Regions from separate parts of the Mus musculus genome. Here all the other regions are reported to be linked to region 2. Evidence: microRNA targets listed by miRTarBase, many of them from high-throughput screens and not tested one by one. Region 2 holds a microRNA gene; each other region holds the end of a gene's coding sequence.

The links. Region 2 holds the annotated microRNA mmu-miR-3572-3p (UACACUUGUCCUUCUUUCCCCAG, at 1,369-1,391, opposite strand). A microRNA usually pairs through its seed, bases 2 to 8, with sites in the 3' UTR of a target mRNA and lowers its output. Matches are read on the target gene's strand: a 7mer-m8 pairs with bases 2 to 8, a 7mer-A1 pairs with bases 2 to 7 and ends in A, and an 8mer does both.
Region 1: the mRNA of Mapk8 is a reported target of mmu-miR-3572-3p. Seed matches in the 3' UTR shown: 7mer-m8 at 5,704-5,710 and 7mer-m8 at 4,565-4,571.
Region 3: the mRNA of Sgms1 is a reported target of mmu-miR-3572-3p. Seed matches in the 3' UTR shown: 7mer-m8 at 4,346-4,352.
Region 4: miRTarBase lists Hs6st2 as a target of mmu-miR-3572-3p. Seed matches in the 3' UTR shown: 7mer-A1 at 5,012-5,018 and 7mer-A1 at 7,415-7,421.

What each region holds. Positions count from the first base shown.
Region 1 is chr14:33,376,313-33,384,620 of GRCm38, forward strand. Mapk8 (mitogen-activated protein kinase 8) reads right to left here. Exons shown (of 12, transcript NM_001310454.1): 11 at 7,562-7,639; 12 at 1,586-6,007. The coding sequence ends at 5,862. Among named protein-coding and RNA genes, the nearest start is that of Mapk8, 67 kb to the right of the region's middle.
Region 2 is chr7:3,654,401-3,657,400 of GRCm38, reverse strand. Mir3572 (microRNA 3572) reads right to left here and starts at 1,439; the gene lies at 1,354-1,439. Cnot3 (CCR4-NOT transcription complex, subunit 3) reads right to left here. Exons shown (of 18, transcript NM_146176.3): 11 at 1,449-1,830; 12 at 1,245-1,368; 13 at 416-614.
Region 3 is chr19:32,119,014-32,127,321 of GRCm38, reverse strand. It overlaps Sgms1 (sphingomyelin synthase 1), which reads left to right. Exons shown (of 10, transcript NM_144792.5): 9 at 1,930-2,096; 10 at 2,798-4,595. The coding sequence ends at 2,977. Among named protein-coding and RNA genes, the nearest start is that of Asah2, 20 kb to the right of the region's middle.
Region 4 is chrX:51,386,707-51,394,357 of GRCm38, reverse strand. Hs6st2 (heparan sulfate 6-O-sulfotransferase 2) reads left to right here. Exons shown (of 5, transcript NM_001077202.2): 5 at 3,997-7,651. The coding sequence ends at 4,888. Among named protein-coding and RNA genes, the nearest start is that of Mbnl3, 180 kb to the right of the region's middle.

The DNA of each region.
Region 1 (8,308 bases), not on the chromosome of region 2:
AAGGCACCTGGCTTCCATGCTCTCACCTCTAGCCTGGACTGGATTTGTTCTCACTGCAGTGTCCTAAGATAAAGTCTTATCATCTCACACTCTGCAATGGGTTCTCACTATCCAGAGCAGCAGTTCCCAACCTGGGCCCGGAACCACCTTTCACAGGAGTTGCATATTAGATAGCCTGCACATCAGGTATATATGTTGATTCATAACAAGAGCAAAATCAGTTACTAACTAGCAACAGAATAACTTTATGGTTGGGGTCACCACAACCCGAGGGACTGTATTTAAAGGTGCACAGCATTAGGGAGGTTGCGAGCTGCTGTTCTAGAGGATGAAGCAGGCCCTCCTGTCTGTTTCCTTTCTCACTGTTCCAATTCTGAACCTCCGCTTTCCCGTCAGGAAGGCTATTTGTACACCTGTGCCTTGCCTGTCTGCCCTCGTTGCCCCGCAGGCACTTACTTTTAAACCCGTACCTTTTCCTTTTGTTTAGAATATCCTTCCTCTTCAGAAGTCTTTTCACAGAAAGATGCGCCTTCTTGAACCTGCCTGTTTTCCTCCGCAGTCTTGGTTCTCCTCCCCCTCCCCCACCCCCTTCCCTTCTTGATTCCTTGCATTCTACTTTCTAGCAGAGTCTCAACAGTATGCTTTCTTTAACTGATGAAATAAAACTTGTGTTGGAAACCTAACATTTTCAAAGCATATTTGAAAGTTAACTTATTTTCTAGTAGGATCAACCCCTGGTATATAAGCTTAAATAGCTTTAAAAAAAATTAACCTAAAATCAATACAAGTAAATCACCCTCATTTAGGTTTGACAGATTTTGAGAAAACAACAACAACAACAACAACAACAACAAAAACTTTAAAAAAATGCAACACCTGTATTAGCCACACAAGGAACTCCACTTTATGACTGAGTGGGAACCTTGATCACTCAATTCAACATCAGGTTGAGGTTAACCTTCTGGTTCAAGCTCTGCTACTCTATCTCGCTACCTATGACAGTAGCAGGACAGCAGGCACCAGCTCAGCAATCTCATGGCTTGCCAAGGCAGCAGGGACATGGCTTCAGTGTTAGTGTATGCAGAGGCAGGGGAGGATGGCATGGGTACAAAGGCTGTGTGGACAGAAGCCAGGCAAGATGGAAGAACGCCATCCCATGGGCTGGGTTAGCACTTAGAGGGACCCTGCACACCTTCATGCAGCTCACCCATTAGCAGTGATGAGAACCTGTGGACAGAGCAGATACAACTGGCTCCATGTTCAAACCTGCTTCTTTTTTTTGACAGATTCGGGTCTGATACTGATTTTTGCCAATTGGCCATGATGGCTGCTGTCTCATGCAGTTACTAGGTCAAAGGGCACTGAAGCAAAGTTTCTTTCTTAAAGTTCCTCTAGTGATTTGAAACATAAGAACAGTAAGCCTAGATCAAGCCATACACCAGCAGTTAAAACCGGGATGACAATGTGTATAAAATCCAAACCTAAGACACCTGCCCTACTAACAACCTTACCTCAGTCCACAGGAAACCCTAAAACCACCAGGAAAAAACACAATTTTGTTTTGCTTTCAATGAAGAACTCTTACTTTCATACCACTTTTTCTTTTTTATTTAAAATATTATAACCAATTGACACACTAGATAACACTGTTTACACCCAGTGGTGCATGTTGAATGACTAGGGCATGAACGATAACCCACGGTAACGATCCCAGCATTCCCTACAAAGTGCCCATTTGTTTTGTCTAGAGGAGAAGAGAGGAGAGCACACGGAAGGGGCGGGATGAAGGAATGACATGTACAGGGAAAGAGGAAAAAATCTAATTATCATCCTATGTTTTGAGGTTTAAAACCTTATTAACAGGGTAAACCGTAATGAGAAAACAGACATCACAGTCCAGGCAGACAGCTACTTCAGTGTAACTTCATCATTCCGCTATAAGATTAACAGCTTCTCAAAAATATACCAAATATTGGGCCTACAAAAGTAATGTATTTCTTCGTAAAATTTACTAAGATTTTCTCCTTCTGTAAAATGTAAAGCATGGACTGGTATCTCGAGCAGGTTTCTTACAAAAACAGTGAGGATGTCAATAAGCGTATGCAGCACAATTCCCCAGACACAGTGGAAGACTACACGGGACTGTCTCTTACTGACGCAAGGTTTGCACTTCACATGCTTACTGGTATTTTGTGAACAGTGGCTAGAAAGTATTCAACGCACATTTATAATTTACACTCAGTAAAGGTCAAACAGTAAGGGCTACAGCTTACTTGGGAAAGCATAGAAAATCAGTGTGAGGTAGTTCAATAAAAACCTAGTTTAATTTTAAGTCATTGTGAGAATAGGACATTGTGCAAAACTAATCCACAGGTAATATTTCTCAGGAGTTTCAGTAATGAAGAGAATCTAAACCAGAAGTGCCCAGAAAGTTGCTTACTAGACTCCCCTTAAAAGCAATTTGCCTAAGAGCAGTTACTTTGAAATTAATTAGGACACAATTTTCCTATCTTACCCCAAACCACACATTTCTGCTTCAATGCCCTTATCTCTTTCATCTTTCTTTCGTGCGATTAGGACAAATGTGCCTCCTGTGGTTCACAGGAAACACCCAAGAGATCAGTAGAAACACAATGCACACTAGAATATGCACACTAGAATGCAACAAGCCACGAGGCAATGCTGAAGAGGGCTACGGGTGAGAGACGGTGCTGGGTATTCTACTCACTGGTAAGACTTACTGGGGTCATGGGGCATCATGCATCCACTCTACACTAATGAGTGACTAATGAACAACACTCACAAACTACAACAGTATTTCTGAAAATATACTATGTTGTTGGTTTTTTTTTTCAATCTCAAAATGCCGTGCAGGCTAGCGCTGAGGCAACACTGATGATGTCTTCATGTGTGCGGCAGAAACTGGCCAATAATGTAAACCAAGTTCTTTTTGTAACTCAGGAAACAGCTTCCCTTGCCTACTGCTCATCCTATCCTGTCAAGTGTCTTTTCTACCTCCACGTCTTAGGGTAACAAAGTGAGATGAGCTCAGAACTGAGGGATAAGGCTGACAGGCAAGCTTTGTACACAACCAGCTTCTCTGTATTGGTGGGGACTACTGCTTCTCTTACTAGCCAGGTGTGAACACACTGGGCCTTTGCTTCTGGTGTGCACTCTTCTGAGATTTGGCAATCAGCAGCATGGCATGACACAGTAAAAACCACTAGCAAATAGCATTAAAGAGTGAGATGCTCTATAACAAAGCAATCCCAACAACATGCTCATCTTACAGATGGTCACTATGTATTAGTGGGTACGAGACCTGTAACCAGGAAGACATGTAGGAAGAATAAGGCTCTCTTTCCTAAACCATGAAGTGGAATGCTAATTCTCAGCTAAACAACTTTTAGACAGTAAGACAATGGGTATCATAAGTATATATAATTGAAAAGTCAAATTATAGGGTGGCTTAATAAGTACTGATAGACAGAAATGTTATTTGTAATTTCTTAAAAAAATACTTAAGATGCTTTAAGACTCTAAAAGTACCAGTAGGATTTATGTTAAAAGATTTAAACACAGTGGTGTGTTTTGTGTGTGTGTGTGTGTGTGTACAGTGGATCTTAATGTGTTGGGCACATGTTTAACAAACAGACCTTGCTTTTAGGTATACTCTGTTAGGTATTTCAGCTTACATTAAGCATTGAGAGCTTGTTGTTTTTTTTTTTTTTAAATTTAACTGAAACATGATTGCTGGCAAGTGGGAGCTGGCAATTACAACAGATGAGACAATCAAACAACTAGTATTCCTTACTTACCCGAAATCTGAATGAAGAAGATGGCTTCTCAGCAATCAAACACAAACACAGAAAACTAACTACAGCATATCAGCTGGTAAGTGCAATAGTGACACATTTTATCACGGCAAAACCAAAACCAGTTAGATGCAAAACTAATATAAAATAAGAACACACTCATGCTCCAATTTCTGCTAAAATCCTGACTTCAACCTTGTATTTCTAGAACCAAGAGGCGTAACAGTCTCAAATTCATACTTGTCTAATAAAATAAATGCACCATGTTGTACATATAGAAAAGGAATCACTAAAAGATGGGACGCTAGAAATCTTGATAAACTTGCTATGTTTAAAAAGGTAATATCTTAATCTTAAGTATTGCACATTAACAAGACTTAAAATAGCTTACTTGAAAGTAATTGTACACTAAATGTTTTTAAAAAGCAACCAAAAGAAGAAAAATCCAAAAACCAAAACAAAAGAACCTGCTAAGCAACCTTTCAGAAATCTGCCAAGCTGTGCCCGCTCTTACTCCTGCTGATTGTGAGCTCCAAGGGGCTCCGGGCTCCTTCCTACAACCTTGCAGCTCATGAAGTATGCATTTCCCAGTTCATTACATGAAATCCCTCTTGTTCCAGATAATACCAAAGGTGCCTGGGCATTATAGACATCATTTCAGAAATAATGAGACCTTGATGACATTTTACTTAGGAAAATTCAGTTACAGAGAAAGGATTCTGCAGATATAAAATGTAAACAGTTAACACACACTTGTCAGGAGCAGCACCATTCTTACACTACTCAACGTCCATACTGGAAATCAGATATAAAAAACCAAAGACTCAGATGAAAGAACCACCACTATGCCTGCTCTGCTCACTGTGAAGAAACAGTCCTTAGAAAATGACATCCTACATATGGCTGTGTGCTACTATTTTCAGATGAACGGCATATTGCTCATTTAAATGTCACCTACACAAGTTTAAGTAGGCTTTGGAACCTCCTGACAGCTAGTAGAAACAGGATAATGCTACAGGTAGAATCAAATGGCCAGAAACACCACAAACTGGTGCTCAACAGACTGACCCGCTAAGGAACAGGAACTGGGAAAGGCCAGAGGCCAGAAGCTGTCCAACAGGGAAAGTCCAGGCTCGTGGCCAATGCCAGGACCTACAGCCTGAGGAGATTAACTCAGTGTCTACAGAAGCAGGCTCGTAGCCAGGACAGGGGAAGCATCTGTTGATCTCCACGGAAATGTAGATTCATGAAGTGTCCTCTTAACTTTGTGTGATCAAAAGCTTTAAGCATGCCACAGATGATCAGAATATACCACATTCCTTAGTTTAAGTTTTTCTTGGGTTGGTGTAGGAGATTCAAAATGGAGAAGGATGTGCCCAGCATCTTTAAAGACATGCTCTGAGTTATTCTGCCATTAGATAAGGTGTTTGCTAAAATTTAGGTAAGGTTGCCTACCAATTGTTTTAACTAAGTTGGGATTGGCAAGTAGCAAATATTGGAGGTTTCTTGATGCGTTCATCATTTACAGTAGTTATTCCTGAATATAACTGGCTACAGGTTATTTTCCCTTATTCCTCTGGGGTTATTTCATTGATAAGCACATAACCCTGAAGGATAGCATCATGAACAAACATCTGAAATAAATTCTAATAAAAAACTTATAAACATCTTAAATAATTCATGATATATGCAAGTCACCACATAATAGTTGCTTTGATAAACAAAAATTTTACAAATTCAGTAAAAAAATCAGCAGCATAAGATAAAGCAAATATGCAAAATTTAAACCATGATAAAATAATTAGGTTTACATTATACAGTTAATTACAGCAAAAATACAATACAGTTTTGTTGCTGTTTAAAAACACAACTTAAGTTTTAAATTACAACACTTGAAATTAAAAAAAATAAACTACTTTACTACAAAATGAATTCTACATTTTCTGAAAAATCACTCAAAAATATGACCACTGAATTGTTTTTAAAGCAGTTCTATCAATGACTAACCAATTCCCCATCCCTCCCACCCACCCAAGGCCCAAGTAGTCATCTACAGCAGCCCAGAGGTCCAGCTGATGCTTCTAGACTGCTGTCTGTATCCGAGGCCAAAGTCGGATCTGTGGACATTGAAGACATGTCATTGACAGACGGCGAAGACGATGGATGCTGAGAGCCATTGATCATTGCTGCACCTGTGCTATGAGAAACAAAACAGCAAACCAGTTGCAGAGAGAGTTGCAGACCGGGCTGCCTGGCCTGTGCTACCTACCTTCAGGGTCTATAGACTTCTCCTGGGCTTACGGGTTGCTGAATCGTATTGAACCCAGCACTAATGTTCTCTTATGCACACAAACTACGAAGGGAGAATTGTGAAAATGTCTAGAAACCTATACTTGTTTTCCTTTCCATAATGCATTTTTAGTTTAAGACAAGAAGTTAAAATCCAAGTAACATGGAGAATGGCCCTACAGCAAGATCCATAAATGGGCCTCAGGGTGTGTTCCAAAAGAGTTGAGAGTACATACAAAACTGCTTACACTTCATTTTGTTGGAGAGAAGATCTCTAAGATCCAAGTAACTAAAAACAGCCTGAGAACTAAAATAGTATAGAAAATTACTTTTGATAGTCTCACAAAAACCACAGTGTTCAAGTGATACTCCTGGGTCCATCTTACAAAGTAGAAGCCAACACAAAAGAACAGCATCTTAAAAAAAAAAAAAAAAAAAAAAAGCCGGGCAGTGGTGGCACACACCTTTAGTCCCAGCACTTGGGAGGCAGAGGCAGGTGGAGTTCGAGGTCAGCCTGGTCTACAAAGTGAGTTCCAAGACAGCCAGGGCTACACAGAGAAACCCTGTTTCGAAAAACCAAAAAAAAAAAGACCAGCATCTGATCAGGAGGGACCTGAACCAAGTGGCCAGTCTACAAGAGAGTGTGTCACTTACCAGGTAACCAAAACAGCCTAGTAGGTAAACTCAGGCATACTTTGACCCAGGTAAATACCAGGCAAAAACAAATACAAACTTACTAAACAGAGAGAAAATGCTTTTCTCTGTGAAAAAGCAGTATCGAACAAGCATTTCATGCATTTAAAAAATGAAAAAGCTCAAAAACCAGGAAAACCTATGGAGAGACAGAAATCCTTTTAAGGGGGAAGCCTCATTCAGAGGGAAGAACATGTTAAAGCATCTCAACAAGATGGAGCAACTTTCAAGCCATAAGCTCACTAAATAGAAGTACAAGAACTTAAGTTCTCAAAAATACATATACAGAACAAAAACAGTGTGTAGTGCTCAGGGCCCCAAGATGCTAAAGCCGAGCAGGCAGGACTCTGCTGACGCACTTGTCCCCCTTCTGTACAGTGATGAGCAGAACACTGAGAGACAAGAGGTCCTCAGAAGCTTGTATTCAAGTGTGACTAACGTACTAAAAAGAACGTCAGAACGTGATGGCACACATAGCAAATTTAGCAAATTTTGTGGTGAAGTTTTTATCTATTCCAACTGAAGACTTTTCAAAGCAAAGAATAAGGAACTCTAAGGGATTTTTTCTTATTTAAAGACATGGCTGTGGTGTCAATGAAAACTGGCTTTAAATCAGCAAATGCATCAAGACAATAGTGTGTCATGGCTTTCAAATTTAACTACCAAACTGAGTGAGCATGGGAAGAACTGCAGATTCCAGGCCTCTGAAGATTATAACACAAGATGCAAGGCACAATCACAACCAGGTTTATATTGTAACCAACCTAAAGGAGACGGCTGCCCTCTTATGACTCCATTCTTAGTTCGTTCCTCCAAATCCATTACCTCCTTGTATATCAGTTCTGAAAAAGAAGAGGAAAAGTGACTCTCAGGCATGAGTCCTTAAGTCAAAGCTTCTATCTGTTAGGTGCATCAAGCTGGGTTCTTGCAATGATAGCAATGGCAGAGGATCTGAGTGTCAGCTTCAGACTCATAGGTGTTAGCAATTAATTCACTGATCTTCGACCACAGATAGATGTTGATAGAAAGCTAAGCTCTCTGCTCTAATTGTCCCAGCTGGTTAAAGGGCAGCTGTTGTCAGAAACCAGCCCCTGCCTTGAGTGTATCAGCCACACAGCACTCTGCCTTACAGACCCTTGTCTAATTCTGTCAAAGTGAGACCTGAGGTCAATACCTTCCTTCTACTTCCTGGGTTCTGTCCTAATGCAACAAGGCTGTAATTAGAAAGATTTATAACCAAAGCAGCATTTACAATTAGAATGGGACAGAAGGGTATTTTTACTGAAGGAAAAGAAGCAGCAGCTTCAGATCCTTCCAAGTAGCCTACAGCAGGTGTCAGCATCAACACCCCTTCCTAGGACTCATGGATCCCAGCAGACCATTGCACGACAGATTTGCCTGCGGAAAGACACAATGCTCTTGCTTGTGATTCTGACTTGTTTGGTATCATTATCTATCACTTTTGAGTCATATACTCTTTGAAAAATTACATAAAAGTAATTCTGTGAAAA
Region 2 (3,000 bases):
GCCGACCATCCCTTGGGCATTCAGTCTCCTTGGGAACATCAGTGGGTTGGGCCTGCAGCCCCCCCCCCCCCCCCCAGCTTTCCCTGGTGAGGCAGCTCAGGGCTGGCTCTTCTACCCACTCTGTACAACTCTTCCATCACTGAAGCCCACCCACAGACCTGCACTCCAACTCTCTTGGAGGGACTCATTCTTCACCAGTCACAGCCAATGAGGCTCAGTCCTTCATGCTACTCTTCCCCCACCCTTCCAGGAGTCTCTCCACAAGGTGTCACTTTGCTTCTCCTCCTGTCAAAATCATGCTAACGCCGTTATCACCCACTCAGGAGAACTTCTAAGATGTTTCCCCTCTAGGAAAGTGCACTCATTGAATTTCCTGTCGCAGGATAGGCTCAGGGCTCACACCCGAGAAACTCACCTTGATTTCTGGGGTGGTGCTGAACTGTGGAGGACCATTAAGCAGGGTACCAGCTGCCTTGGCTTCACTGAAGCTGGGCGTTGGAGAACTGGGGGGATTTACAGGCAGTGGCACCAAGAGGCTGGGTCCCCCCGAGTTATTCCCTGAGCCTGAAGCCACATTCCCAGCCCCTGATGGGGCTGCCGTACTGGATTCCTTTCTGGGTAAAGAATGGAGGAGAATCAAATTAAGATCCTTGAAGACAGGCACAGAATATGGGATCCAAAAAGGGGGGTGGGGGCTGAAAGCAAGACAGCTGGAGCATGCAGAAGTGAATCCAACCTCTGGACTCCTCTTCAGTACAGCAGAGGTACTGAGGTGTGCAACCAGGATTTTAGGGTCCCCCCAACAGCTTATGAAGTTAAAGGACAGGGGACAGGGTAGTTCTAGAATTGTCACTGAAACAGTTTTGGAGTAAATGATTGCACAGATGCACATGGTGCAATCCCAGTAGGACTGGTAACGAGGCTGACAAGGCAGCAGATCTTTCATTAGTAATCTGATGTCAAGCTGAAGAAATGGAGGACTAGGATATTTTACTTGGAAAAGGGAAAAGCCCCCACACTCATGGGAGTCAGCTGCCTCAGAGCAAAGAACAGAAATGGGAAGACAGTGTAGTGTGAAACCGAGAGTAAAACATGTCCCACTTGGTAAGAAGCAGGGAAAAGAACACTTGCTGAGGTGAAGAAAGGACACACTGGGTAGGTACTACCCAGGAAGGGTAGAACTTGGAACCCTAAAACAAGTGGCATAAGAGCTTGTGCCCACACACTGCCACCCCACTACTCACGAGGTGCTGGGAGCTGGGTTGTGAGGGCCCGAAGTGGGCCCAAGGGCTTGGCTGCTGGCACTGCTGCCCCCACTGCTACTCAGGGTCACCTCTGCAGGGCTGTCTGCCACAACCGAACTATAGCCTGGGGAAAGAAGGACAAGTGTAAACAGGCTGTCAGCTACTGTCCACCTTGCCCTGTTCCCCAAACTGGTCTCCACTTACTTGTGGCACCGTTCTGCTTGCCAGCCCCTCCGCCTGTGCCACTGTTACTATTGCTGCTGCTCCCTCCGCTGCCACCACCACTTCCCCCGCTTGGCTGGGCACTGGGGGGCCGTGGCTGGGCATTGCTGGGCCCGCTGGCATTAGGTGGGGCCACAGCCTGGGCATAGGGTGCAGGAGTACCCGAGTTGTGGCTGGGAGCTGGACTGGCCTTAGGGCCCAGGGCACTTGTAGGTGCTGCTGGGGTAGAGGCCCCATTGTTGCCAGGGGTGGAGCTCAAGGCAGAAGTGGTAGGTGGGGGGCCAGAGGGGTAGGTGGGCGGCACAGCTGGGGACTGGGGGTGCTGGTTGCTGTGGACAGGCTTGGAGCCATTTTTGGCTGGAGACTGCAGGAAGAAAGAAAGAAAAAACAAAGGGTCAGGTACTAGACCAGCCTGTCCCCTATCCACCACCCTCTTCTTGTCCTCCTGCCTTGCCTCTGACCTGCTATTAACTGTCCACATTCTCTGAGGCACCTAGGAGACTTCAATCACCTTCAGGTTTAAGACCTATTTACTTCCAGCCCACCCAGCTGTCCCAAGTCCTCCCCGGACATTGTCCCTATAGCCCACATGAATCTGACAGGGTTTAGGTTAAGACAAGAGACCAAGGGAAACTCTCAAATACCCTGAACTTGAGACCTAAAGTGGTGACACATGCCTTTGATCCTAGCACTTGAGAGGCAGAGACAGGCAGCCCTCTATGAGTCTGAGATTAGCCTTGTCTATTTGGAGAGCTCAGGCCAGCATAGGCTACACAGCGAGATGCTCTTGTAAAAGAAACAAACAACACAAACAAAAACAAAAATCCCAACCTCAATTTGCAATTAGTTGGATCAGCCTAAATGTTTAAGCGTAAGGGAACTAGGACAATCAATTCCTTCCGAATGTCAGCTAATCATGAAACTGTAAAAATGCAGTGCTCCAGGGCATCCCTACTTAAACTACGCTCCAACAACCAGGCTGCCATGCCAAACTGCCTCCTAGCCTTCTGACCACCACACAAAAATCACAAAGAAAACTGGCCATTCACATTTTTCCTGGGACTTCTGCTTGACAGTCAAGGGGCCTGATAAGGTGGCAGAACTAAGCCCACCCCCATGATTCCTTGCCCCACCTCCTCACTCCATTACTCTGGCTGCTCCTAAACCCTGGTCCCCAAATTAGCTTCATTAGTGTGCACTTAGGTCCTCCCACTGGAGACTGTCCTTTCTATTAGCCTAAAGGAATTCTGGGCTTCTTCAACAACATTCTTGTCTCCTAAGATATGTTCTTATTGTAGGAGAAATTGACAGAGCTGAGTTTATTCATTAGGATCTAAAGGAATTCAGAAGTGCCGCATACTGCCTTCCTCTCTCAGGAAGTGCTTCCTGCAGTCAGTGCAGCACAGGCAGTCTGACTTTCTGATCACTTCTCAGGCTATTTGGGTCCTCAAGAGACCAAAGAGTCCTCAGTCCAACAGCCCACCTCTCATACTTCCTAACTTCTTGCCACAGTTCCCTGTGTGACCTGCCCACA
Region 3 (8,308 bases), not on the chromosome of region 2:
AGGAGTCACAAAACCCTGATTTGGGATCCTGGAACTATCGGCCCCTCCCCGAATTCTGACTGTGGGGAAAATGTTTAATCTCTATATGTCTTTGTTTCCTCATCTTTAAAATGAGTCTTTATTTCATGAGTGAGGAAGAGGCTATAAAAAGTAAAATAAGTGGTGTGCATGGATACGCAGTGAGGTTCACAGAAAATGTGTAGTAGCTGTTCTTGGTGTATTGTTAAGGTATGAATATGAGTGGCCAGTTTCTGCCCCCAGCACCCAATTTAAAATTGCAAAAACAACCAAAGGGGCGGGGGGACCTCTTTCCTCCTCTTCCTTCTGATCCCCTCAGCTTTTAACAACTTTCACCTTTATATAATATGCAACTCTGTAGTTATAGTGTCTTACTCTTTGTCTGTCTCGCCTTCTGGCAAGGGTTCCCCCCACAGAGGCACGCCTTTGCTTACTTCCTTTGTTGATTCAGACATCTTGAGTAGGACCTGTCCAGGGAAAGGTAGATGCGCCCAGCCCGAGTGAATGAATGGCAGTTGGATCTCTTGAGAATCCAGTAAAAGTTGGCAATACCTTCTTCTCCAAAATCAGGGCAGTAGATCCATTCAGAGCTTTGTCTGAAACCCCACGCGCTCTAGACCCCTACGCATTGAGAATGTGGAGTACAAATCTCACCGTCTTTCGGATGAGTGTGTAGTTATGGAACCTGGGAAGCAGGCTGGTAGCTGTAGGGATTATAACTGCATGGTCCCTGCCTAAGCATTTGTGGCACAAACATGAGCTAAACAAGGACGACCAAGGAACATGCCAAACTAGATGGGGAAAAGACCATGAGGTTCCAACTCTGCACAAAGAACTACAGACAACTGAGTAAAGATGGAAACATAAGAGGCATCCCTCTCCAGGGAAGAGCACAGCAAACAGATTGTCCAGCATCAAACCATTGGCCATACAAGAAGTTGTATATAGACTCAGCAGGCTATAATTAGGAGTGTATAGTTATATGCAGACACATGAATGCATCCAATAACAATCAGTGAGAAAAGAGGCCGTAATTCTGAAACAGAGTGGGAAGAGATGTATAAGAGGGAGGGTTTGGAGGGAGCAAAGAGAAGGGAGAAACTAAATTATAGTCTCAAAAACATACATTTAGAAAAGGAATATGTGGCACAGTAGGAGTTAGATTTACATAAGACACTAACCTCAGTGTATCCATAGGTTGCACTTAATTAATGGCCATTGGACAGAGCCTAGGGCCAGAGCTCAGGGCGTAAAGTGCCTGAGGTACCAAGCTAAGACTGTGTGTTTAGCTCCTTAGCACCCACAGAAATACCAGGTAGACATGGCAGCATCCTTGTAGTTCCAGAGCTGGTGTGGAGGTGACAGGGGTCCCGGCAGCAAGCTGAGTAGTTAGACTAGCAGACTCGGTGAGTGAGCTGCGGTTTCACGTCGAGACCTTCCTCAGTACATAACATAGCGTGATCGAGAGAGCAGCTCAGTCACCAAGCTCTGGCTCCTACATGTGAGGCATACACACAGCTGCACACATCAGTGTCTATGCTCATGCAGACATGCATACACACACCGCAGTGTCAGGGGACCATCTTTTAAAGATGGAGCTCAACGCAGTGACCTGTGCATATTTGGTCATAGTCACCTTTTATGTTACGTTTTTGCTTATATGAAATAAGTTATGGCCCTAGATAAATTACTGCTGCTAGTCATATTTCATTAAAAGCCACTTCCTTCTATCCCAAGTTATAGAGAAACAAAAAGTCCTTTAGTTTGCTGGCCCACAAAAATGGGCTTTCTGGAGGAAAGGTGTAAGATAGTCGGTCCTCCAGAATGGCGGAGGCGTGGGTGAGTGGTATTGGTGGTATTGGGTGAGTGGTATTTAGGACCGGGACTATTGCACATGTTTCCTCCTTCTAGATTCTCCTCGGCGGCTCTGGTGGTACCACTGGATTTGCTGGCTCCTCAGCGTCGTTGGAATCTTCTGTATTCTCTTAGCGCATGACCACTACACTGTGGACGTGGTGGTGGCCTACTACATCACCACAAGACTCTTCTGGTGGTATCACACGATGGCCAATCAGCAAGTGAGTCGCCCCTTCCCTGTCATCTTAACTTCTCCTGTCTCAGTCTTGGTGCTGCTGGCTGAGGCCGGAGTAAGAGGTGTTGGAAAGACGGGGAAGCTGTGAGTCTTTTTCAGTTTCTCTTTCTTCGGAACAACCACCTGAGGTGGTGCTGGCTTTTATAGCACCATTCCTCTGCGGAGCCAGTGTGTAAAGTGCTGATGTAATTGACACAGATACCACTTTCTTCTGAAACGTATGTGCTTACTATCTGTGAAAAAAATAATCTCCAAGATGGTATCCGCACTTACGGTGCATTCCTAACCTTTGGTTGTGATGGGCCCATCACTAGTTTCATAGTTACGTTTAACTAAGGTATTAAATATATTTTATCTATTATATTTATATATGTTATATTATTATAACATTTATAAATATACATTTATTATATAGGAGCACAGGAAGTTAAGATCCAAGGAGAGTGAAGAAAGGGCTGACTGAGATATTTAGTAGGTACAAATTGAGGGCGTCTCAGTTTCCCTTGCTCTCCTGGAATCTGACGTGTCCAGGGTATAGTGTGGTGAACTCAGAGTGAAGCCCGGCTGTGTGGGTGGGTGTGGAGCAAGTCTGGGATCCTTTGAATTTTAACATGGGAAATATTTTAAAGGGAAGACAGTAAGATTGAAAAACAAACAAACAAATGTGTATGTTCTTTGCTTTCCTAGGTGCTTAAGGAAGCCTCCCAGATGAACCTCCTGGCCAGGGTGTGGTGGTACAGGCCATTTCAGTACTTTGAAAAGAATGTCCAAGGAATTGTACCTCGATCTTACCATTGGCCCTTCCCCTGGCCGGTAGTCCACCTTAGTAGGCAAGTTAAATATAGCCGGCTGGTAAACGACACATAACAGCTCTGCCGACTAGGGAATGAAGAACAGTCCGAAGTGCTAAGAACTCCATGACAGAAGATGCCATAAAGTAACCACCTCCCCCTGCTATCTCTCAAGTTACCTTGACTTAACCTATTGCGTTACCTGCTCAGCACTGTGATCTTTTTTTTTCTCTCCAAAGGACCCGCGTTGGACAACAATAAAGAAAAGTTCCCACATCATGCACTGTAGACATTTCCTGTTGTTAAGCTTGGGGCTTCTATAACAGGCAGCCACCGTGTCCCTCTGTGTCATTCAGCCGCACCACCGTGTGCTTCTGTATCCTAAGCTCCGGCCTTTCCAGCCATATCTGGAAATAAAGTGTGTTATTTTCTTGGGAAAACATACTTTTCATATCTCTTGCCCCAAAGACAGGGCTGTAAGCCATTTTCTAGTAAATGTCTCTATGAAGGGTCCTAAGTGTCTGCATGGGAGTTGATTTAGAATCTCTCTGCCTATTGCACTGATGCTCGGCTGAAGACGATAGGTCCAGAGAGGTTTGCTCGCCTGGGGTTTTATACAGTCAGCAGAGACGGTGTATCAAAAAGTGCAAAAAAAAAAATCTGTTATAAAGTGATTTTTCTAAGTATTTCCTAACTTTATTTTTCAAAATGATGTTATGAAAACCAAATTTAAAGATTTTTACATGTCACAGAAAAGAGAGTTAACATTTAAAAGTGCTTCTTGGGAGAGAAATTTGTCTATGTTTCTAGTGCCTTTCTTGTCTTGATTGTATGGTCGGTTGGTAGGCAATCTTAAATGTTTTTATTTATTCCATGAAAATATAAATGTATGTATACACTACTAAATTTTACATTTATAGCTAAATTAAATCAGAAGACTGCTAGTGGTTTTAAAATTGTTTTGAACTGAAGAATAGAGGGTGTGAATTAGAGTACGCACCCATTCACATATTGTGAGCAGGCCGCACTGCCAGGTGCCGCTGAGATTATGCCATCTGTTTGGTAGTTTGGTTTTAACTACTCAATAAAAACAGCCATGAATATCTTTTTTTAAAGAGAGTTTCGAAAATGATCACTTACCTAAAACTTGAAAGCTATAAACTAGTTATCCATACTCTCATGACAGTTTTGTTGGTGAACAACAACAAAAAGATCTATTTCTTTAAAATATATTTGTGCAGAAACTGCATGTAATTCTGAGTTTTCCTCCTGACATACATATGTTTGGGGAAGTATTCTACTCTATACTTGCCAACGTGGAGAACAAAATAGTTTTCTAAGAGCGAAGAAGTATATATATATAAATATAAATATAATATCCATTCTGTATTTTATGTGCAGCAGGATTACCTTCTGTAGGTTTTTTTGTGTGTGTGCACATGCACAAGTGTGTGTGCGTGTTCATGTATGAGTGAGTGTGTGTGTGTGTGTGTGTGTGTGTGTGTGTGTACTCACAAGGTGATATTTGTATTGTAAAACAATAATGGTGAAGGAAATAAAAAGGCTTTTAAATTTTTGTTTGTTTTAAATCTTTGTAAAGTTATTATTCCAGAGAGTATACTGATATCTTACAACTTACCTAAATCATAAATTAATCAAAATGCACTTTTTAATAAAAACTTATACTGAAAGTATGTGGCTATTATATTGTGTTCATCTTCACATAAGTCAGGAAGCTGTTAAATCAATGTAGGAAACCAAGCCCCGGATCTCTTTAGAGCTTGCTTGGCCCAAGTCTTTATTAATCATCTACCTCTCCATGCAGGACTTTTACAATGTATTTTAATTATCAAAACACCCCTGCATGTTTTTGTTTTCCAGTATGTAAAAGGAGCCACAGATAAGTGAAAACCAAGCTGTTACCACTGAATTCTGCCAATAACTGAATTCTCCAGTTCTCAACCAAATCGCTCACTTTTTCTCTGTAATGGAAACAGTGTAGCCTTTCCAATGGAGGGCTGGGGAGGGTCTGAAAGGACCTGAAGTGCGCCATGTGGACAGTTCATGGCTCAGCAAACTCTTCACAGATAAAGATGGTACTAATCCTCGATTTAAAGCAAGGAAGGGCTTAAGAGAAGTGGCTTCTTGTCTGTCAAAGGGTAGCCCCGGAGAGGCAGGAGTGGAGCCAGTAGCGCCTGACAGCGGGGAGTTCGGAGACTGTGCCTCCCAGGCCTATGTGATGAAGTCTTCCAGCAAACCTATCAAAATGCCCCACCTGGCCCATCCTCACCTCCCTGGGGTTGGTGTTAGCCAGATGCTATGTACTGAAAAGGAAGCAGGATGGATATCGATATGAATTACCAACACATGTTAGAAACGGGCTCTTACCCCACCCTCAGGGTTTTTGTTGTGGTAAAGGAGTGGTTCTTAATGCTGCAACGCTTTAATGCAGTTCCTCATGCTGTGGTGACCCCCCACCAGAAAATTATTTTGTTGCTGCTTCATAATTGTAATTTTGCGACTGATAGGAATCGTAAATATCTGACACACAGGATGTCCCTGCACAGGTTGAGAACTGCTCTGGTTGAAGCCTGAGCCAGGCCCTTGGAAATAATACACCAGTAGCTGTTCCCTGCCCTACCCACCACCATTTCTAAGACGAGGGTTTCATGTAACCCAGGTTGGTCTTGAACTCCTAATCCATCTTCCCCGCAATTTCCAAGCACTGGTGTCACAGGTACACACCACTCCTTCCTTCCCTGGCCTCTCTTGTAATTTTTGTTTTGTTATAGGGCCTGAAGTTGCCCATGCTGACCTTGTACTAACTGTATCTCATGGAGGCTTCAAGCATGTAAGACACTTTTGCTCCAGCCTCCAAAATAACAGAAAGGAGTATGCCTGCCATTATGCCTGCTGAAACTTAAAATGATTATGTTAAAAATGCATACTTAGGAGTTTATTTGCCTTGTATGTGCCAGGAAATTACCTTGTGTGGTTTATACAAGTATATACTGTTTATTGAGCAGTACACCCCTGTTTCCTCTATTAAGGCCGTTTGTTCCCCTAGACAGTTGTTTCATTTTTATACACATATATGATTCTATGTGACTACAAAATCTAGGAACACAAATGAGAGAGAGCGCGTGCTATTTCTCATCTTCAAACAGGCTTAATTTGCATCTACCTGCTGCAAATCCCAAGGAACACAAAGAGCAATGTTGTATCCTGAAGGCAACAGTACAGGATAAAGACAGGATAACCACCTGCAGTTTCTGCCCTGTTTGATGAGCTGAATCCCTAGAAAACTGCTACAGTTATTTTACTTGTGAGTTAAGCATGCTACATGTGTTATCTTGGTAACCCTCATCTAACCACAACTGTCCCCATTTTATGAGTAAACCAGCCAGTGACTAAGACCAGAGGCACATAGGTAGTAAGAGGAGTCCCAGGCAGTGCTGTAAGGTATACTGAATGTGGGAGCAACCTCTGCAGTGGGAGAAACCTCTGCCTATGGGAGTCAGAGTAAGTTCAGGACTGTTAAAATGGCCTGTGTCACAGGAGGCGCAAGGGAATTTCACCAGTTTGCTACAAATCATGTGTTTTATTTGTGTCTGAAGCACATACCAGGCTTGATCAGTTTGATGTTTCACAAGCTGGCTTAGAACCACATAAAACAAGAATTTATGCTACTGAAAGTTGACACCCACCCCCATTATACAGAAAGTCAACAAGGTTTTGAATTCACTCCAGATTTGTATGCTATGCAAATCACTTAAGAACCTTTATCTTTCCCTGTGGTCAGGGACCTTACTTAAAGAAAGTAGAACTCTTGGCATTCTGCTTATTGTCAGCTCTTTCAGAGTACAGGTTAGAAGGAACTTATGTGACCCTTGTCATCAAATAAATTTGATCTCAGTAAACCAGCTAATGCCTCCTTTAAAAATATATATTTTGTCAGCATAATAATGTGTACTTGTAGTCCCAGATATCTGCTCTTGAGGTTGAGGCAGGAGGATTATTTCAAATCTCAGAATGCCTTGGTAGCATCACTGAGAGTTGTTTCACTTAGTCAACGGTCACAACCACTCAAGAGCATTACCAGTATCCCCTTAAGCAAGCAGTTATCTTTTAGCTCAATTAAGAATTAAGAAGTAGGGCTGGAGAGATGGTTCAGCGGTGAAGAACACTGACTGCTCTTCCAAAGGTCCTGAGTTCAAATCCCAGCAACCACATCTTGGCTCACAACCATTCATAATGAGATCTGATGCCCTCTTCTGGGTTGTCTGAAGACAGCTACAGTGTACTTACATAACATAAATTAAGTAATCTTTAAAAAGAAAAAAAAGAAAGAAAAAAAGAATTAAGAAGTAGAAAATTAAGAATCCAAAGACTGTGTTCATCTTTATGTACTGGTGTGCTTTATGAAGATACAAGGTTTTTGTTTCATGTTTTGTTTGGTTGGTTTGGACTTTGGTTTTTTTTGAGACAGGGTTTCTCTGTGTAGCCCTTGCTGTCCTGGAACTGGAGACCAGACTGGACTTTGAACTCAAGAGATCCACCTACCTCTGCCTTCTGAGTGCTGGGATTAAAGGTGTGCAGCCATGCCTGGCTAGTTTCTGCACTCCATTTTCACTTAGCTTGCAGATCAGGGTAGCTGGTGGTGAACTCCTTTAGCTTTGGCTTCGAATGCTCTATTTCCCTTTTACCTTCAAAGGGTACCTTGCTGATATTGAATCCTAAGTTGCACGGTGTTGATCTTTTATAGCCCGCATTTTGTTTACATGGCTTCTCAAAAGAGGTCTGCTGTCATTCTTGTTTCTCTATAGTTGAGTCTTTCTGCTTGCTTCCTTAAAAATTGTCTTTGCTGTCTGCAGTTTGAATAGGACGTACCTAGGTGATATTTTGAACCTGGAGCTCAGTAAGGTTTTAGAATATTCTCTCTCTCTTTTTTTTTCCTTTTGCATTTCACATAAATATCAAGCTTACTTAGTCTTCAGCAGTGTCTGTCCCATTAATCAGCACATCACAGACACTCTTTGTGTTACAACCCTCATGATTTCCTGTGGCCCTTTCTGCTTATAGGACTCCCCTCTTCCTTGCCTGACTTTGTCCAGTTGTGTCCTCCATAGACTTAAAGTTCTCTAGATATTCCTATGTGTGTTTCTTGAATCTCTTTCTTTAAAAAAAAAATTCTTTTATTTTATGTATATGAATATTTTGCCTGAACAAATGTATGCGTACCACATGAGTGCCTAATGTCCTTAGAGGTGAGCAGAGGGCATCAGATCTCCTGTAACTAGAATTGTGGATGCTTGTCAGCCAACATGTGAGTGCCAGGAACTGCACCCAGGACCTCTGTAAGATCATCAAGTACTCTTAACAATAGAACTGTCTCTCTAGCCCTTGA
Region 4 (7,651 bases), not on the chromosome of region 2:
AGGACACAAGAACAGAAATGCTGTCACAATGAGGGAAGTTGCTTTCTTGACATTTGTTAGATCATGCCCAGAGGCCATGTTCAAATAAATTGGAATCTAATCAGAGGCAAACAACAGGGTGGTAAGGACCTTAAAGTAATACAGAGAATAGGGAACAACCACAGAGCATAAAGAGAAGCGTTGGGTCCATAAAGCTGCCGTCAGATGCCTAATTCTAGGTTGCTTGTCTGAATGTGTAAGTCTACTTCCCACCCTCAAAGTTATCCTCCAGAAACCTAAGAAGCACCTTTCATGTAAGCTCCCTCTCCCTCTCCCTCTCCATTGATTTTTGTCTCTGTGACAGATGCGTATGAATCCCATACCATGGCACCTACATCCTGTCTCAACCTGACCGCCAATCCCTCTCCAGTTCCTGCCAGACTCCTCTGCTGCCCACTATTTTTCCACGAAGCAGGCTGCTTTACACTTCTGTGCCATTCATTGTTCTTTCCCTTCTGTCTCTTCTTCCTTTGTCTCATTCTTCCTTTAGGCAAACCTAAAGATGCCATCAGGGTGCTATCCTCACATTCTGTTCTTGCTTCCATTTGCTAGCCTGTATGTTGTCCTAGGTTCCCCAGACTCCTCCATGGTTCTCTCTGCTTCCCTTGGTTCTTTCTCCACAGCCGAGCATAGTAGGGACCAAGAGGGAGCAAGTACACACTGCTGGAATATCTATCCATGTGTCTGGATTTATTGGCTTCCTCCAAATCACTTATTGGCTATTTCCTTTCAAGTTCTTTTGTCAGAATACTAAACATCCTACATCCTTAGTCTGGCAAAACCTCCAAGGTATTATTAATTTATGTTTGTTCGTGTGGATACTCAAGCACATGTGTGTATGAGTGCCAAGAAGTCAATGTCTATGACTTTTGAGACAGGGTCTCTCAGTAAATCTGGATATCACTGACTGGTCTCATCTGGCTGTCCAGTGAATAGTTCCACACACCTCTGCCTCTACAGTTGTGGAATTACAGGCACATCCTGCTACACCTGGATTTTTATGTGGATTCTGGAGATCTGAGCTCAGGTCCTCATGTTTGCACACCAAGCACTTTACCAGCTGAGCCTTCATCGTGGACCCTGATGGAGTGTGTTTACATGGTTTCTAACCTCTGTCACACAAGGTGACTTCGAAGACCAATGAACACTCCATCCGCACATTCTCAGCTGCATTAGGTGCTCCCAATTGAGCCCTTAGGTCATTGAGAAGGTTTCCCCTGAGGACTGGGCTATTAACATAATCTTAACATAATCTCCAGTATTAGGTACCTGGATCTCTCTCTCTCTCTCTCTCTCTCTCTCTCTCTCTCTCTCTCTCTCTCTCTCTCTCTCTCTCTGTGTGTGTGTGTGTGTGTGTGTGTGTGTGTGTGTGTGTGTGTGTGTGTGTGTGTCAGCAGTAATATTACAGTATGGAAATTAAGACTTCTCTCTGTCCATGTCCTCATTTTATACTGGAGACATTTGATGCAGAAGCTTATGAAATTCCCACAAGTGTGTGATCTGAGGGACTTTTAAAGTACTGTCTCAGTCCCTCTTTGTTGCCTTTTAACTCTTTTCCTTTGTGGTTAGTGCTATTAAAATAATGACCCAGACACTCCTCCTGGTGGTCCTCTACCTGATCTGAAAGGATAAGCTTGGAGGAGGGAGAGCCACAAACTTGCCCCGTAGTGCACTCTAAAATTTGCCAAAAGATGTCAACATAGATTTAAACCAGCAGAACGACGAGGGTGGGAGGGCTGTCAACTAGTCATGAAGGGGACTGCATTGTGAGGGTTAACTACCCCCTACCTAACCCCTGCCCAGAAGCCCCCATTACAGTGTATGACTGCCAAAACTGGTTAAAAGGTTAATCCAAATGTGTCACTGGATTAAATAAATTTCTTTTTCCCCCTAACAATCAGGGTAATTGCCACTAAAATCTTGCCTTGTGATTTGCATAAAGGCTCCATAAATACCCTCTGAATGAACACAAGAATGAATGAAAAGTAAAAGTAAGAGTGGGAGGAGAGAGTCCATGGATATAGTGCTTATCTGAATTCCTAAAGGATGCTGAGAAACAGAAACTGCTACTCTACAATAATGGGTATTTTCAGAGATACATCTTAGTGGCGTCGGTGGCATTTCAGAGATAACATCAGTTACGTTGTAGAATAGGTTCAGAGAGATAAATGAAGATACTTTTGGCCTATCCTTCGTTCCTACTCCCAGATTCTGTGCTTGATGATTGTTGATTCCATGAAAATGTATAAAGTGGTTTTTAAAAACAAAGAATACCTTCCTGTGATATTTATAAGGCATTTGTAATATGATCAACCGTTTTTCTGGGATGAGGCATGTCCCCAGCCCTGTCCTCCCTCATATTTGAAATGGTTCCTTAAATAAGCATTTAAAGGACTGCAAAGATTCTTTTTGAATCAGACGCATCGGCTAAAGTGCAATGTTGGAATGTGTGGCACGGTTATAGAAACACAAGGCAGAATTTGCATTCTAGAAAACCCTTTAAGTAGAAATACAAATAAGACACTGTAATTCCGTATGAAAAGTCTAAGTATATAAGTGCTATGGCAACACGGGGCAAGAAGGAATGCCAGTAGCCTTGGCTTTCTACTTGAACTAGACTTGAAAGGAATATCATCTAGTCCTCTCTGTGTCCTTCTCAAAGAACAGGTAGATGAAGCACTACTGGTATCACATGACAGAGACATGCCAGAAGGCCATGAGTCTGAGTTAGGAGAAACCTTGCCTTGTTCGATAGGCCAGGTAGTTGAGAAGGTCCTCTCTGGGTCCTTCTCAAATGACAGCCACAATTCCTTCAGATAAAAAGGACAAAATCAGAAAAGTTGCCAGACATTCTCTGAGTTTCCTTTAAGAACTATGAATTCTCAGTATTTATTGTTGCTTTCCTACCACAAATATACTCCTGCAATGACCTCATCCTTCATCTACATGAGAATGGTAATTCCTGTCTCACAAGAAGCACAGTTGTGGGAGAATTTCTCTCTTTGATCATGCCCAACCACATAGACCTTGATGCATCTGGGGTGTGGGCCACAAGTATAGGTATGCTATGTATGTGTTTGAGTGTGTCAGCCAGTAAGTTCAAGTATCTACTAGACTGCTGTTTATGGAGAGAACTTTATCTATTTGTAACTCGAAAAGAAATACAACCATCCAGCAAAGATTCCACCATTCTTATTCTTCAGTGAATGAAGAAAAGGGATAATTTGGAGCCTGGGGATGGTACGGTGTAAACAAAGACTGAAAGGAAAATAGATGCTTGCATATATGCCATTGGCAGCTGCATGCCTATTTTCATCCTTGACTAACCACTGTATTTATTTCTAGGGGCCCTGGGATGCTCTGCCTGTCTCTCCCATTTTTCCAACGTACGAGCCATGATATTCTGGCGATAACTAGAATAGAGAGTATCATGTCAATAGTTTTAATGTGATTTTTCTTTCTTTTTTTTTCTTAACATTACCAGATTAGACCATGTTATTGGAGAAATGTTTGTACATTGTTCATAAGAAACATTGGAATTTTAGCTCCTTTATCAACTCCATTTCACCCTCATAAGTCATTTGCTTCAATTGAGTCTCCATTTTGTGATTGGTTTAATAAAAATTTAGGGTTTTAGAGTATAAAATAAAATTGGGTTGCATACTGGACCAATAACATCACTGGGAAGAGAACAAAGTAGGGCAAAACATGACAAGGTTGTTATCCAGAGTCTTTTTCATGCCTGGTGTGGATACGGTGTCAGGAAATTAGATATCTGGTCAGACTCGCTGGATAGAAAGAGGGCACCACAACATAGTTCACAGAACAGATGCCACCACCTGTCATTCCTCTGTTGTTTTCCTTAGTGACCATGAACATCACCTATGCCATACACCTTCCTGACTGCACTTATGTCAGGCGCACTTCTGACTATTGTCCTTTATGCTTTATCCATAGGAACTTCCATTACATTACCATCCTGAGAGACCCAGTGTCACGGTACTTGAGTGAATGGAGGCATGTCCAGAGAGGAGCAACTTGGAAAGCATCCCTGCACGTCTGTGATGGAAGGCCCCCAACCTCTGAAGAGCTGCCCAGCTGCTACACCGGTGATGACTGGTCTGGATGCCCTCTCAAAGAGTTCATGGACTGTCCCTATAATCTGGCCAACAACCGCCAAGTTCGCATGCTATCTGACCTGACTCTAGTGGGATGCTACAACCTCTCTGTCATGCCTGAAAAGCAAAGAAACAAAGTCCTTCTGGAAAGTGCCAAATCCAATCTGAAGCACATGGCGTTCTTTGGCCTCACTGAGTTTCAGCGCAAGACCCAGTACCTGTTTGAGAAGACCTTCAACATGAACTTTATCTCGCCGTTTACCCAGTATAATACCACTAGGGCCTCTAGTGTTGAGATCAATGAGGAAATCCAAAAGCGTATTGAGGGACTGAATTTTCTGGATATGGAGTTGTACAGCTATGCTAAAGACCTCTTTCTGCAAAGGTATCAGTTCATGAGGCAGAAAGAACATCAGGATGCCAGGCGGAAGCGTCAGGAGCAACGCAAATTTCTGAAGGGAAGGTTCCTTCAGACCCATTTCCAGAGTCAGAGTCAGGGTCAGAGCCAGAGCCAGAGTCCAGGTCAGAATCTGAGTCAGAATCCAAATCCTAACCCAAATCAGAACCTGACTCAGAACCTGAGTCACAATCTGACTCCGAGTTCAAATCCCAATTCGACCCAGAGGGAGAACCGGGGAAGTCAGAAGCAGGGCTCAGGCCAGGGACAAGGTGATAGCGGCACCAGCAATGGCACCAATGACTACATAGGGAGCGTAGAGACATGGCGCTAACTGGCACTCAAAGGCTTGTGCACACTGCTTCCCAAAGCATCACCAAAAAGATGGCGTGTATCTTACAAGATGAAAATGTCCAAACACATCCTGCTTCCTTCATTTGGGAAGTTCAAAAAAAAAAAGTGTAGACGTTGCCTTTACAGTTGCCTTTTGATTCAGTGTTATGCTGTGTGTGGGTACAACAAATCTCAGTGTGTAATTAAATTGTCTGTTTTGGGATGAACTACTTCTGAAATCCAAGAGCCAAACCAGACTCACCAGAAATTGCAGCTTAGATATTTTAAGACGTTCTTAAATTAGGTATGGGAGACACAAAGAAAACATGAAATGTGGCCGTTTAAACTTATGGCTAAGAAACAGACTTTAAGTGATTCCGGATACTCTGTTAAAACTCAGTCTTGAAAGCACCCCCCCTCCCTGCAGGGAAGTATAAGTAAAAACATGAACAGAACTAAAAGACACTCAAAACTGTTCATTTCCTTGTTTTAACAAGGAGCCTATTTAAACAGAAAAACAACTGATGATAAATTTTGCCAAACTGTAGAAAATAAACAATTTCTCACTTAAATGTAGCTGGGTTTATGTAAAAATAATGGCTTTTCAAATAGATCGGGATTCGTGTCTTGTAACTTAACAGATGTTTAAAATTTAGAATTTTTCTACCTTCTGCTGATTAAAAGGTTTTAAACAGGGTATATCTCATATTAACAAAGCATTTTTTCCAAATGGAATACCAATGGAAAGATCCAGTTTCCAGATGGTTTCTGGGCACTGTAATTCCAACAATTTCGATCTTTTTGGCGCTGCTTCTCATTCACTTTAAGGCTTCTCCGAGTTGTGCTCATTCCAAATGAATCCATGTATAGAATTTTTCTTCTTCATCTAAACAACGTGTTGCTAAATCTCTTGTGCTATTTAATCCTGGACTAAAGTCAGGACTTTCTATAGAATTGTCTTATCAATGTCTGTGTAGTAAGGTCCTTAAGAAGAACTCTCAAACAGAATAATTTGTCTCTTAATATTGCTGAAGTTATTATTCTTCATCAGATTGAACTAAACCTGAATGTGAACTGTTAATTATCTTGTTTATTGTAATGTTTCCAGTTTGGCTGGCTATTTCTGGCCCATGGTTCTTTTCTTGTATTGACAGATTTGTACACAATAATAAGAGCAAAAAATTTTCTCAAAGACAACAGTAGACTAATCATTAAGATAGCCAGAGTTGCTCAATAACACCAAAAGCTGCCTCTTGATAATTGAGGGGAACACTTCTACCAGGATTTTGTTTGTGAAAGATCAAAAATAAAGAATGTTTTGCAGCGAAGCTAAGTGTCAGGGACGTGCAAGTAGAGGAGAATAGTTTGATAGTCTGCATCTGTGAAGAGTATTTTGATGGTTTCAATTACAAATGGAACAAAGGAAGAATTATATACACACTGTGTTGTGAAATATCATACTGCTTGGCAGTTTACACCTCATGGTTGTTGCTACACTTCTATAAGAGCTTACATTAATCCCTTGGCTTTCAATCAAAACAAGGTGACCAGAAGTGGTATTCATGCTTTCAAGAGGGACATGCTTAGAAATATGATCATAAAGTCACATCTGTCATAGTCTGCCCAAGTGCATGACCTGGTTTCATCTGTAATAATATGGCCACAAGTTTGGCAAGAAGTTGAGTATCTGGCTCTAAAGAGATTTTCTTGACTCTGAGCTCTGTGACAATATTTGCAGCTTTTGTTTTGTGGTATTTGCAGTGTTGAGAATGATGATACCTAAAAAAAAATCAAAAAACAAAAACAAAAAAATGAAGAAAAAACAAAAACAAACAAAAAAAAACTGGAAGGAATTTTTAAAAGCACATCTTGAAGTCAAAGTATTTGGTGTACATTGTGTTCTTGAAAACTTCTGTAGATCACTATGGTATTTCAGTAATTTTAGTTTTAATTGAAAATGATTGTTCTTAAAACTGACAGTGTTGGAAAGCAGGACGAAGTCTGAGCCAGTGGAAAAGCTCATTACAGAAAAAAAAAAGTGTTATTGCTGTGGTGTGCATGGTTTGCAGAGATTAAGTGCATTTTCTCTGTCTCTACTGATTATTGTATATAGAGAATGTTATAAATATACATTTTTGTCATCATCATGTAAATCCCACGATTTCAAACTGTAAACATCTGTTCAGTGGTGTAGCTTTACAAACTGTTCACTGATTTTGTGTAATTTATCAATAGATGTGAAATAAAGTTTCAATTGCAGGCTGTGAGTAATCTCATGATTTCAAGGTTTATAGCCAGTAGACATTGTGATACCATAAACAAACCAGAACAGGAATCGTTTCAAAGACAGTGTTTTTCTTTACACTTGACAGCTAAGTATGAAAATGAGATGGCCCATTTTAATACTCATGCTGAAATGGCCTTAATTTGGGATGCTTTTTCCTTGGAGGCCATGATTTGAATAAAACAAAATTGTTCCTGAAATAAGGTTTGCCGTGCAAATGAAGTGAACCCACGTTCTCATTTAAAGTGTATATAGTAGATGCTTTCATATATCATAGAATGCACAAAGGGAAAAAAATAGCACTCTTAATTACTTACCTCCTTTTATCCACAAGAAAAAGGTTAAAGGTAAGCATTAATATTTTGGCCTTGGGGTCTGGAGCAGTTAAGAGCACTGACTGCTCTTCTGGAGGTCCTGAGTTCAATTCCCAGCAACCACATGGGAATGAACCCCAGCTCACAGCCATCTGTAATGGGATCT